2 linked regions of the Astyanax mexicanus genome follow. The protein of the gene in region 2 interacts with the protein of the main gene of each other region in a pairwise test. Links are inferred from orthologs where the notes say so. Each region holds a gene or a part of one and is shown on either strand. Other genes may lie near its edges.

The links.
Region 1: the proteins of rwdd1 (region 2) and drg2 interact in binary tests that used the Homo sapiens proteins (3 or more experiments, as listed by UniProt). The link is inferred for Astyanax mexicanus from reciprocal best matches to the Homo sapiens genes RWDD1 and DRG2.

Annotation. Positions count from the first base shown.
Region 1 is NC_064410.1:54,129,154-54,136,455, forward strand, and holds the start of drg2 (developmentally-regulated GTP-binding protein 2), read right to left. Parts: upstream 3,199-7,302; 5' UTR 3,145-3,198; coding exon 3,081-3,144; intron 2,359-3,080; coding exon 2,198-2,358; intron 2,113-2,197; coding exon 2,023-2,112; intron 1,945-2,022; coding exon 1,884-1,944; intron 1,794-1,883; coding exon 1,703-1,793; intron 983-1,702; coding exon 910-982; intron 765-909; coding exon 674-764; intron 1-673. Other genes in the region: gfer (FAD-linked sulfhydryl oxidase ALR), read left to right, coding at 3,785-4,000, 5,464-5,669, 6,262-6,424. UniProt on the Homo sapiens protein: Catalyzes the conversion of GTP to GDP through hydrolysis of the gamma-phosphate bond in GTP. When hydroxylated at C-3 of 'Lys-21' by JMJD7, may bind to RNA and play a role in translation.
Region 2 is NC_064411.1:31,734,658-31,741,992, reverse strand, and holds the start of rwdd1 (RWD domain-containing protein 1), read right to left. Parts: upstream 3,262-7,335; 5' UTR 3,160-3,261; coding exon 3,087-3,159; intron 70-3,086; coding exon 4-69; intron 1-3. UniProt on the Homo sapiens protein: Protects DRG2 from proteolytic degradation.

The sequences.
Region 1 (7,302 bases), on a different chromosome or scaffold from region 2:
AATAAACACACACACACACACACGCACACCTTCAAGCAAGGCAACTGCTACCTTATTGGGAAGAGCCCTGTACCTCCATTTCTGGGCTGTTTTAAACAGGTATCCCCCCCCTACAGTATATATGCGATTGCCATCACTCTTTAACATACACAGTTAAAATTTTTCCACCGACATGGACTGGCATCACTCTGGTTTGCGAACCTAAATTTGAACTGGTTCGACATGTTTCCACCAACAAAAGTAGGTTCCAGAACCAGGAATGTTCGTTCGTAATGAGAACCAAAAAAATACTGGGTCCTTCAGTGCAAACCATGTTCACTGCCACTGTGCAGCACCCGCTGTTGATGTCGTATAATTAGCTGATTTGAGAGTTCCCACTAAAGCTGTTGGAAACATGGTCTGGTTCACTGAAAAGCACCGTGAGGAACCAGAGGTTATTTGACAGAAAAGAGCCAAATGTGTACACGTAATTAACATATATTTTTGTTGGATAGACTCATTCAGGTTAGTAAAGCTCAGTAATTTATCCCGTCTTACTCTTTTAGGACCCTACAGGTAAGTTTGAGCAGTGCTAAACAAAAACAGGTAAGTATATACAATTGTCTGTGTCACTAACGTGTCAGGGGTACCTTACATCATTACCAACACAGACAGCAATGCTGATAAAGGATACTGTATTCATGAAGAATGAGCTGAACAAGCTTCTCTGAACAGTATGTGAGAGGAAGTGTTGAATTGAAGGAGAGGCCACCTCCTTTCTTAGGCTGAAATGAGAAGAGAATATTTTGTAAGACTTTTGTAAGAACACAGTTCAAGGTCCAAATCAGAGGATATGTATCATGCAAACTGTTAAATGTTAAACACCTTAAGTACTCCTGAATGCAGGAAGGTAAAGAATGTAAAAAGTACCTTGAAATAAATGTTTGGTTTGCACCGGTTGAGTCTGATGCCAACAGATTCAAGCTCTTTTTCAAGAAGTTCCCTGAAAGATTAAAAAATAAATCATAGGACACTTTATCTTTTTTATTCACTATGAGGGTTCCTATGAGGAAGAAATAGCCAGATAGAAATATTATAGACAATACTCAATAAAGGGTGCACAATATTTTGGTGGTGTGGCGCAGTGGAGAACACCACTACCTGCTAGTGAGCTACCACATCTGGGGTTCAATTTCTGGTCTGGATGACTAAATGCTGCACTACACCAATAAGTGTCCTTGGGCAACTTTTGTAATAAAAATAACCTTGTAAATAACCTGGATAAAAGTGTCAGCTAAATGCTGTAAATGTATTTTTTTTTATTCCCCAACTATTGCTGCTGCTGCCAATTTCATTTTTTCATTATTTTTAGTTAATTTGATAGGAGCTTCCTGTTTCTGAATATGTCTAAGATTTTATTCATCCCTGAGGGCAAATTTGCAAAAAAATATATCTGTTTCTGTATATTCAGTACATTTTCTGTTTTATTTATAATATTATATTGTATATCTAAATGTATATCAGTCCTACCCTGTTCTAACTACCTGAAGCTCACCACAAGCATTTTAACTGCACATGGGCTAGTCTCATAAATGTTTATTTAAAAAACTTGTCCACGTTATGTACCATAACTGCACAATATTAAAGACATCTGCATACCAAGTGTAATCACATGTGGCAAGTCACAATCCATGACCAAGTCTCAACGAGGCATATTACTCACCTTTGAACCTCTCCTTTGGTTGCATCCAGCATCATGATAACCACATCTGCAGTTCTGGCTACAGCTATGACCTGTCTACCTCTGCCCTTTCCTGTATGGAAAACAACATTAACTTATTAGAATCAAGAAAACAAGTGCAAACAAAAATGTCAACATCCACTAACATCCAAAAACCACACACCTTGAGCAGCTCCTTCAATAATTCCAGGCAAATCCAGCAGCTGTATATTGGCACCTTTGTACTGAAAGAAAGAGAGCATGATGAAACATTTAAATAATTTAAAATCTCCAGAAATATAAAAATTCAAATTGACAGGTACCTCAATGACACCTGGAATGCAAGTCAATGTAGTGAACTCATATGAAGCAGCTTCACTTTCTGTCGATGTCATCAAGCTAAGAAAGGTAGACTGCAAAAGAATTGATTGTTAATGCAAAATAACAAACTGTATAACTGGTAATTAACACACATACACAAATAGATACTCTGATTACCTTGCCAACTGATGGAAACCCGATTAGAGCCACCCTGGCATCTCCTGATTTCATAACATCAAAACCTTCACCTTTGGCTCCTGCTGATTTTGAAGGCTCCAAAAGTTGTGCTCTGTACTTGGCTAGCTTGGCTTTTAGCAGACCTAGATGGTACTCCGTAGCTGCAAACATGTTTAACACAGATAAGGACATACTTTTTTTTCACTACACCCCACATCCATTTCACACCGTTTTTCTCCTTTAAAATAAAGTGAACTTTGTAGTTGAGACTGATTAAGGGTATTATTCCTATTCCTAAATAAACAAAACAGTCTTACACTTCAATCAATCAATCAACCTTTATTTTGCCTCGGAAGTACATTTAGGGCAACCCTCATCTTTTAATAAAGCTAAGCATTTACAAAAACAGGGATTGGCATGACAATTAATAACTACATTTAATAATATTAGATTAAAATAAAATAAAATAACAATAACATTAAATAAACGAAAAATAGATAAAATAATACAATAAAATAATAATTAATGGTTTAATTGATAAGAAATTAAGATCAAATTATAATGCTTAGTAAGACAAACACCTTGAAATTAGATATTTTCGCTTATTAAGATTTTGGGTTTTCGAGGCGGTGCAAAATCACCTTCCACAAAGATCCAACAGCTGGCTGTAGCTGTACAGGTATACAGAAGTGCCAAATCCAAATCCATGAAGTCAAAACCCACCCCAGTATTTTGTGGCAGCTGTCAGTGTGATTTAGCTTTAGAATAGATCCACATTCATGCTGCCGGACTGTACAAAACAGTGGTGTGGATTTGTACTTTCGGGACCTGGATTTAGCACCTTCTAACGTGGCAGTCTGGGCTGGCCGGCTAGCTAAGCTACCTTTGTTTTTCTGTGTCCGAGAGATTTCTCTCTCAATCTCGGCTATCTTCTCCAGAATCCCCATGCTGAGGGAGGGGTGAGGTCCTCAGGACGGTGAAGAGACCTGTGAGAGGAGCAGCTGAACAGAAACACAGACAGACAGACCGCTAGATTAGATTAGCTAGGGTAGCTAATAGAAGCAACTAGTAACTGTAGATAGATAACTAGCAAACTTATCGAGCAGTTTTACAGAAAAGCCGCTAAACGATGGCATTTCCGGCTTCGACATGCACATGAAAATTAAGATATAGGTGTTTATTTGTGGGTACTTTAGAATTTAACACTCACGTATAGAAATAAGAGCTGTAAAAGTTGGGAGAAACCGAACTCACTCTCTAGCAGCACCGGAGAGCACGCGGTGTCGCTCTGTAAGCTGTCCGCTGAAAACACGGCTTTGCGGACTGATCGTTCCGCCTGAACACGGACTAATGCTAGCTAAGTTAGCTAGCCAGTTTAGTTATTCTAGAATTTGAAATAGTATCTAAACTGTTATAAATCCGAATTTAATTGCAAGATGAGACGTTTTCTGATGTTTCTAAACTGACCAAACGAGTCTTGCCCTCTTCCATGGTACGAAACGTAGCTTTAAATCTAGCTAAGCAAACATTAGGTTAGCTAACAGCTAGCTATCTTACGTTAGCTAAGTAAGCTAACTAACAGCCGTCATGGCAGCTCCGTCAGGGTCGCGGTACGGGGACAGTGACAGTAACAGTAACAGCACTGGTATGGAGGGCTTCCCCTTCCCTCCACCTGTCAAACCGCCTGGAGAAAGTTCAGAAAAAGAACAGGGCGTGAAAAAGAAGCCGTGTCGAGCGTGTACAGATTTTAAGTCATGGATGAAAGTTCAGAAGAAGCAGGCTGCCCCAGGTAACCCAGCACAGGTGAGTGACTGACTGGACAGTGTGGTGAAGTTTCCTGAAAAATAAGAGTATCATTGAAAAGTTACTTTATTTCTGTAAATCAGTTCAAAATGTGAAACAGTGAAAACCCAAAAATCAGTGTCTCAGAAATATAGAATATAATTTAAGACCAATTGGTATTTTTGGCAGTGTGGACAGTGTGCCAAGTCCTGCTGGAAAATGAAATCCGCATCTTCATAAAAGTTGTCAGCAGAGGGAAGCATGAAGTGCTGTAGGATTTTCCGGGAAAACACTGCTCTAACTTAGAACTTTGGGTATAACACAGTGGACCAACACCAGCAGATGACATGTCTCTCCAAACCATCACTGATTGTAGAAACTTCACACTAGACCCAAGCAGTTTGGACTGTGTGTCTCGCCACTCTTCCTCCAGACTCTGGTCCCTTGATTTTCCAAATGAAATGTAAAATTTACTGATGATCAGTGATGGTTTGAAAAACCCTGTCATCTAGGGGTGTTGATCAAGTGTGTAATATCAAGCCCAAAATCATTGCAGTGTTTTCCCATAAAATCTTACAGCACCTTATGCTTCCCCCTGCTGATTTCATTTTCCAGCAAGACTTATCACACTGCCCACACTGACAAAATCTTATGTAGTATTAAGCCATAATCATCAACAATAAAAGAAATAAACACTTAAAATAAATCCCTCTGTGTGTAAAACATTTATATAATATATTAGTTTCATATTTTAAACTGAATTACTGAAATAAAGCAACTTTTTAATGTCATTTTTTGAGATGCACTAGTATGTATCTTCTAAACATACAGGTATGAGTTGTCTTTTCACAGCAAGTTATGTTTGTTTAAAATAATTACATATTCTGCATAGAGTTCTGATCTCTTCTTTAAAGAAAACTTGTTTTTAGTATTGCTCAAACTGATTTCATACTTTTAAAAGTACCTGGCAACCTGGCTATTTAGCAATTGTGCACACAGGTTAAAATCAATAAGGTGAAATTCCACATGGTATTTGAAGATCTCATTCATGTCAGCCCCAGACAAATTTACAATTATTGTTATCATTCATACATACTTGCCACCATCCTGCACTAAAAACATTTATTTTCTTTTTACTGGTTAATTTGACAGTTGTCTTAATGACGAAAGTGTCATCTGTCCACCAATAGAAATGCTTAAAAGTGGCTTGGAATAAAATATTTGAACATTAGCTTCCTATAAAAGTTACGATATTTTTTATGTACAAGGTTATTTCATGATGATAATATACAGGCTAATACAGAAAGCCAATACTCTATAATCCTTTTAGTATGGTCAAGAGATGCTGCTGACTCGATTTGATGCTATGAATCGTTTCCTTATTAAAAGAAACAAACAAAACAGTTTACAGTTTACCAATTTACTCTGTGGGCCAATAAATGTAGAAAATACCATCTTGGCTAAACTAGAAATTTTGCTTTTAGGAGACTCAGGTGGCTGAGGAGAAGCTGGTGGAGTGTCCCCTGGACAGGGAGGAGCTCGGGAGGAGTTCATGGTCTTTACTCCACACTATGGCTGCCTACTACCCTGATACTCCCAGCACATCCCAGCAACAAGAGATGAGCCAGTTTATCAACCTGTTCTCAAAGTTCTTCCCATGTGACGAATGCGCTGAGGACCTGAGAACAAGGTGGGATATACACAGTATTTAATATATTAGCAGGATTGATCTAGCTGTCTGCAGACATGCACTCTATGTCAAAATGTTTGTGGACCCCCCCTTTTAATAAATTCATTGCTGACGTAGATGTGCACATATATAGAAATAGCTTGTTTAATTTCTATGGAGAAGTATTTGATTGTGTTCAGTGACAAAAGCCTTACTGAGGTCAGGACTTCACTAAGGCTTTTGTCCCCTCACAACAATGCTCCAAAATCTAGAAGAAAGCCTTCTCTGCACAGTGCAGACAGTTACTCCAGCATAAGCAAGATAAACTCTTTTTTTTAGAACAAAGAATGAGCAGGTGTCACAATACTTTTGTCCATATAGTGTTTTGTCTGCCAAATTTATTTGACTCTTATCTCTCACGAAGTATCAAGCTTATTCAGACAATTAAAATATATATATATCCAGCATATATACATATACTGCCTGAAGAGTTATTACTGGGGTTGGATGCTTTATTTTTAGTTTTAATTGTTGTTTTCCCACTGTGCTTTTGGCTGTATGTTCACTTGAGCATCTGTCCCCTTTTTGACTCATCGTTTCTATCTGTTGCCAGATTGAAAACAAACCAGCCAGACACCAGCAGCCGCCACAACCTCTCACAATGGATGTGTCGTCTCCATAATGGCATCAACATCCGATTAGGCAAGCCAGAGTTTGACTGCAGCAGAGTGGACGAGCGGTGGAGAGATGGCTGGAAAGATGGCTCTTGTGATTGACACTGACATGCCCTCCACAGCTGATTCACTGGAAAACACAAAACAGAACCATCAGCTGCTTTGAACTTTTTGCCTTGGGCTATAATAACTGTTGTTGGAAGCGGCTATTGTGTCTCATATACCTGATATGTTGTACATGATGTTATACATATTGCTGCTGTACACAGGCTTGTTGACTACTAAGACCAACATGAAATTTAAACAAAATAATCAGCTATTATGACTTTCTTTACAACCAGCTTGGTCAAGAACTGGTTTACCAAAATATAAGTATTTTGTAGCTTGGATGACCAGATTTCAACCACATTGACCATCTAAAACATGGCAGACCTTTTGATTGCAGCTCAATATTTGACAGTTGTCCCAATTTGACCCGTTTCCTCCAACATAACATTTATAATGCTATTCTTTTGTCGTTTTTCACTTTTTAATGTGAATATGGAAGTGGTTCTTAACATTAAATCTAAACCTCATTTAGAAATGAAATGTTGAAATGTTCCAAAGTTGGAATAGCTTTGTATCTTGACTTTCACTGAAAGTTAAGGAAGTTTTTTTTCTCCTGTAAACAAAACGTTTTGGAGATACCAAATTTTTGTGTCAGCAACAATATGTACAACTTTGGCCCACTATAGTTATGATTATATTTTTAGTGATGTGCTCATATTTGTAATTCTGAGTCTATTTGCTTGTAAAGATAATGAATCATATAGAACTGTTATTTTTATTGTCCATGTCCTCAAAATGGCATTGATGAGAATAAGCCTTGTCACAGTGTTATTGTGGTCTGTCACATTCAACAATCTGCAATAAAGGAAGTGATATATCAGGTATAATGTATGGTGTAACAGTTTGTTCAACCAATGTTTCTTAAAATCAGA
Region 2 (7,335 bases):
TACTCTCATCATTTTCTCCAGCATCTGAAGTGACTGTGATTGTGAAGCTCGTGGGTGCTTCAGAAAGAACTGCAAGAAGAGGAAGAAAAGAGAACATGTATTAACACTGATTTAACAAACAAAAAATCCTCTAATAGTGCCCATCACTACAGCCCACCTGAATCTTAAAAACTCAGAGGTGTCAAGTAATGAAGTACAAATACTTTGTTACCCCATCAAAATTGAAATGTTGGATATCTATTCTTTACTAAAGTAAATATTTTTCTGACACAGTTTTACTTCTACATTTTCACACAATTATCTGAATTTTCTACTTCTTACATTTTAAAACTAGCCTTGTTACTCCTATTTAATTTTAGCTTGTTTTAATTGCATCTTATAAAAAACCCTATCCAGATAAACCTCTTCATCCAGAAAGAGTAAATCTGACTGTGGTGGGATGAGAAGTATAAACATATACCATTCCAACACCCTATTGATTTATACAATCACACCTGCACACGTCACGCCCACACTCCAGCAAGAACATAGCAGACATACAAGGGTTGGACAATGACACTGAAACACCTGGTTTTAGACCACAATAATTTATTGTCTCGACGGACAGTTCTGGTGGAAACAGGAGAGTTGAGGTGCACATTGAATTCTGTCGTGATTTGAGCAGCCGTGGTTTTTTGGATAAAATCCGGGTTAGCACCCGAACATCCCTTTCAGACAGCTTTCTCTTACAGCGTCCACAGTTAATCCTCTTGGATGTGGTTGGTCCTTCTTGGTAGTATGCTGACATTACCCTGGATACCGTGGCTCTTGATACATCACAAAGACTTGCTGTCTTGGTCACAGATGCGCCAGCAAGACGTGCACCGACAATGTGTCCTTTTTTTAACTCTGGTAGGTCACCCATAACGTTGTGTGCATTGCAATATTTTGAGCAACACTGTGCTCTTACCCTGATAATTGAATCTTCACACTCTGCTCTTACTGGTGTAATGTGCAATTAATGAAGATTGGCCAACAAGCTGCTCCAATTTAGCCATGAAACCTCCCACACTAAAATGACAGGTGTTTCAGTTTCATTGTCCAACCCCTGTATGTAATCTAGTATGAAGAAAATCTGTACAGAGACTTACGAGAACTTAAGCGAAATGTCCTAAGGTACATTACTTTTACTTTTATACTTCAATTAGTTTTGAAAGCAGTACTTTTACACTTTTATTTGAATAAGAAGCGAGTAGAGTTGATACTTCAACTTCAACAGATACTTCAACAGAAGTATTTTTAACCTTAGAATCTTTACTTCTACCTGAGTAATTAATGTGAATACTTTTGACACCTTTGCAGGTGGGTCCCAACTAGGCCACATATGCAGTGTACAGATCAGATGGGGCCTGCCTGGTCCCCTCACTGACATCCACATGAGGGGCCAACATTACATCTGGGGGCCAAACGTTTTGCTACCCACACAAGCTCCACATGGGCATGTTGTCTGGGTACTTGTGTTTTAGCTAACCTAGCCAGCTACTTAGCTACCTAACTAACTAAATAACTAACGTTGCTGACAAGCTAATTCACCATTCCACCTTAAATGGTACAGCGATTCATATAGCTGCTGCTACTTTTAAGGTGTAACGTAAATTCCAATAACTTTGTCATGGGAATTTTGTTAAGGCTCCACGCAGCCTTCATAGAAACACCATGCTCACATTCACAACCTTTTAAACCCCACTTTACTCTTATATAACCACACATTACACCTAGCTTAACTGGCTAGCGTTATGTAGGTTCGTTAACTAAGGTACAACATGTCAGCTTACCGAGCTAAGTTACTTAGCTAGCTAACAAGTTACTTTACGTTAGCTGATAAGCTAATTCTCCGTTCCACCTTAAATAATATAGAAGCGGGGTATAACTGCTGGTCATTTTAAGGTGTAACGGAGAACTCTCATAGCCACATATTAAACTTAAGTCAGCTAATTCCCCGATCCACCTTAAATTATAAAGCAGTCGCGTTTGACTACTGTTCATTTTAAGAGAACTTTAATAAGAGAATTTTAATAGCTTTGTTAGTTATTGAATTCATACAAGCGCCCTGCTCACATTCATAGCATTTAAACCCTAATGTACTTCCAAACAGCCACCAATTAAACTAGCTACTTTACAGTTCCACCTTAAATGGTATAGCAATCGCGTATAACTACTGCTCATTTAAGGTGGAACAGAGAACTCCAATAACTTTGTTAGATAAAGCTCCACACAGCATAAACCATAATTTACTCTCATATAGCCACATATTAAACTTAACTAAGCCAGGTTAGCTAGCTTAAGCAACATAACTACGTTAGCCGACACAATAATACACGTCAACTGCTACAGCAGTGGCATAGAAATACAGTTATTTTTAAGGTGGAACGGATAATTTCAGTAACTTTGTTAGATTAAGCTCCACGCAGACCCTGCTCACATTTACAGCGTTTAAAAAACACATCTTACTCATATTAGACAACCAGGAATTACACTTAGTTTAGCTTAAATTAACTAAACTAAACTAGGCCAGGCTAGTTTAACCGAGCCGGGGTGTTCTGTCGAGTTGTGCTACCCTTCGATATGCGCTACTTAGCGGCTCTGCGCATGCGCAAAACTCACACTTTTACTGTTTTCATGTGCTTTTTCTATTTTTTCCTGCCAATTTAGTTTTATTTTTCCCGGGTGCACTGTACAATCTGGACTCACAGTCATCGCTTGCTTTAGTGTTACAACCGTGTAAAAAAAAAGTAATAAAAAATGTATATATAAATGTTTTTTACATTTTAAACCACCTAACGTTATATTATACATTTTTCCTGATACAGCGATTTAGGCTATTCAAATTTGATCATACCAACAACACAACTGCATGCAGCATGTTCTAATTATTTGTATTTTTACAGTTAAACATACACTAGGGTAGCACGATTTGACAGGGTAGCACAACTCGACAGAACACAGGGTTAGCTCTAGCCGCTGCTCTGAAGCTCCAGTAGGGAGAGTGGAGCAGCCAGCCGGGCTAACAGCTAGCTTACTAGGCTAACCCCACCACTGAGCCGCACCTGTAAACGAGTCTGGGTAAATGGACTCTATCGCCTCCAGCTCGTTCCGCTGCTCCTCTCCGTAGTCGGTCATTTTATTTCACTGCTGTCCATCAACAGCTCCGCTCCCACCGGCCCTCAGAAACGTGCCTGTCCGCTGAAGAGAGGCTGCACTCGATCTTCTCCACTATCGACTAGTAATGCCTGAAACTCTGACCGCGTCCCAATTCACACGGGTATAGGTGCACTGCTTTAGCAGTTAACGTCTGAAAGTTCAGTTCATACTAATTTAATGTAGCGCTTTTACTGACTAAAACCCGTTTAATATAGAAGAACTAAAGCAGGGGCGTCCGAACTGCGGCCCGTTTCCTTTTTGGAGCGGCCCGCGAGGTATTTTAGAAATAGAATGAAAGTTGGCCCGCTGTTTTTTATAATGTGAGATTCAAAGACGCTAGGTGTCAGAAACGAGCCAAAGAGTCTAAAAGCGGAGAGCGTGCGCATTTCTAGCGCAGAAAAAGTAAACATGTAAGATTTCTTTACTTGTTTTTTTTTTTTTTTAAGCAAAATAGTTTATTTTACGTTCCAAAATTAAAGGAATATCCAGGCTAAGTAGTTAGTTAGTTTTATTCGCCCCATTACTTCTGAGCTTTCTCGCGGGCTCCCTTTGGCGGTGTGCTGTAATTTACTGAGATATGAATTGGGCTCAGGCTTTATCTGCGCCTTCAGCAAAAAAAAAAAAAAAAAACGATTTTATCTATATCGACTACTAAGGTCTGTGACTAAGAACTGTGGCCGCGTCCCATTACAACATGTACAAATTTACATTTTAATACATATCACTATACAATTTAAAAGTTTTCTAGTTGGCTAGTTTACAAGCTGTAAGTTAGCACGCAGTCTAACCAGTTATAAATAAAAAAATCGTTTTAATTGTTTGATGATGCCACAGTGTAGAGATTGTATTGACGATACAATAAATAATACAATAAGCCATATAAGTAATATTAATTATACTAAACTATAATAACTATATCAAAGTAAAACGATCCTGAAATGTACTCTTAAAGTAAGCCACTACTCATTCTTAATGGGACGCGGCCACAGTAAGAGACATTACAAGTCGGTAAGAATACAGAACGCAGACACACTGCGCTCTAGCGAGGTCACTAGGTAAGTGTCCTAGTTATAGTGCATAAAGTGCTCAAACAGCTCTTGGCCGAGAATAATGTTGTTAAAAAGCGCTATCCGCTGATCGCATTAAAACAATTCAGGTAAAAAACACTTTAGTGCTATTTAGCAAATATATAAACACTACAACTACGAGTTGAAAAAAATAAGTTAGTAACGTACTGATTTTAAACAGTTTAAACAGTTTTAGAGGCACCTGGTAATTTCTTATGACTATGCATTATTAAAAGACCTTGCAAGTAACCAAAGTACACAGTAAAATTAATTGTTTAAATGGAATGCTACTTAAATCAGATTTTTTCTCCATAGTGCTGATTGGTTGGTGTTACTGCTATTGCATGCTGATTGGTTGGTGTTACTGCTATTGAGCACTGATTGTTGTATGTTTAGACTTACTGCTACTGAGTGCTGAGTACACTTAGATGACGCTTCTGTTACTCTGTCCTGATTGGTTGTTGTTCCTGCTAATGTACTGATTAGATGGCACTTCTTCTACTGAGTGCTGATTGGATGGCAGTGCTGCTTCTGAGTACTGAGTACCATTGTCATTACCGGTTTGCATTGCTGCTACTGAATGCTGATTGTCTGTCATTGCTGCTACTGCATGCTGATTGGTTTGCATTACTGCTACTGAGTGCTGATTAGTCTGAATTGTTGAGTCCTCATTCGATTGCATTGCTGCTACTGAGTGCTGATTGGTTTGCATTGCTGCTACTAAGTGCTGATTAGTTGTCATAGCCCCTATTGAGTGCTGATTGGTTTGCATTATTACTGCTACTGAGTGCTGATTAGTTTGCATTGCTATTACTGAGTGTTCATTAGTTGTCATTGCTGCTACTGAGTGCTGATTGGATGGCATTGCTGCTACTGAATGCTGATTGGGTGGCATTGCTGCTACTAAGTGTTGATTAGTTGTCATTGCATCCTTATTGGTTTGCATTACTACAACTACATACAAATGCGGATGCTAGTGGTGCAGTCCAAATGATTCAAATCTCAAACATTAATATGCAAGAGCATTTAGTTAACTTTAGCTACAGTTAGAATCTGCACACTCATGTTAGACTACTAATGTATGTTGTCTTTCTGCTGATGAAAACCACACTATCAAAGTCTGCATTTCCTTCCTTTATGTGGTCGTAAACCTACTCAGGGTTTCCTGTCTGTGCTCTGGCTGCACGATAGAAACCTGCGGCTAGCTGCTTCCCCTCCAGAGGCCGGAGTGCCAAAGATGAGCAACTTAGCGCTGCCCAGCAATACTTGGTGTTGTAGTATTGCTGTGAGGAGATAAGAAAGCATTGATCAGATCAGGTATGGAAGATTCTGAAGTTCTGCCATTCCAGCTGTTGTAGAAATGAATTTACAAGGTGTGTCCGCTACAACTCCCATGCGCGTTCGTTGAATAGAGAGTCAAAACAGATGGAGGTGAAGTTGAAAGCAAAACAAGTATTTATTACTGAATTCAGGAGAACATACAAACACGGTTACGACCGTCCAGCATACGTTCTGAACCTCTAATGATCTGACTCCATGTATATACCAAAAATGACGCGAAATCTGCCGATGAGGCGTTGCTAAAAATCATCCCATGTCAGCAGGCATGGTGTTACGTGTTAGAGCTCAAGATTCGCTAGTGTATGGCCTTGAGAATGAGTAGCCAGACAGCACGGCATTGTTCAGTAATTAGACAATGTTTCTCTCCCCGTGCGCATGCCCTCCTCAATTTGACAGGTGGAGGTCTTCACGCGCACGGAGAGAGAAAGACCGTATTGTCTGCCCAAAAGTCTCTGTATTAAGCGAGGTCATGCAGAATGCACTATCTGCTGATTTTGTAGCTGTTAGTGAGAAAAACATGCAATCACACAATGGGTTTCAGTGAGGTGTCAGTGGCGCGTGATTGTCCGCTATACAATTAGGTCTATACGTTTATGTATCATGTGGGTTAGTTTGTCAGCCTAAGGCCTGTGTTTAGTCACATGCTTGTTAAAAACAATGCTTCACTATTAGTTTTCTATATAAATGTGTAAAAAATATACTGTGAGTAATAAAATGATCAAATATAGTGTTAACATTGGTTAATGCATATAAAATAGTTATGAAATGATCAAATGTAGTGTGAGTATTGGTTAGTGCATATAAAATACAAGGTTTCACACGATGATTATGTAATTTTAGATACCAAGATAAGTAATCATGATTGTGAGATGTTTGTCAATATATTCAAGGTAAAACGAGGTTTCTTCGTAAGATTTCCCACAATTCCCCCTTTCGACGTATCAAACAGATACGTCGACAAACCGTAATTCCTCCAATCATGTATTTACATATGTTCAACCCTTGATCAACATGTGAGTGAACATTGTACTAAAATGTGAGAGCGAAAACCTGTCGCGGCAGCCTTCCAACCTATTTTGACAGGAAAAATTCTCTCACAGCCCCTCTGCCACCCAGGCGGCTAATGAGATGAACTCTATCAAAGGAGGAAGTGACATCATAACCTTAAAGTCATCCCCAGACTAGGTGATCTACAGCAGTTCCTCTTGCTCTTCCTCACATTCCAGTATAGGCCGATCCCAATTGACATGTGTCGACCTAATTACGTGTTCCCACTTGTTACAAGGTCTGGCTTTATAAGCTGCTTAATCGGTGTTATGGGTGATTCTCATGAAGCTGCATGCAACATGTCCATGACAATTTTTAAAATCAGTACTTAATTCACAAAAACTCTGATATTGTGTGTAAAGCAAATAGGTAGTACTGTATGGATCAATTGTTTTCATTATCATAGAAAATTATTTTTATATAAATTAATTAAAAAAAATATATATGGAAATTCTCATCACCGTTATGTGTCCGTACCCCTTCCTTCTAATTTCAAGTTAAACCATATTAAAAGTACTAAGCATATCGAATCAATAAAATAGATTAAAGTCATTTAAAATATCAACATTTATACATAATATAAATAATTTTGAACAAAAAATGTACTTGATTTTAAACAAAATAACTGTTTCCGAAGAATTTTTTCTCATTACCGTTATGGTTTAATACTCATTACTTTAAAAATATAAAAATAAATTAT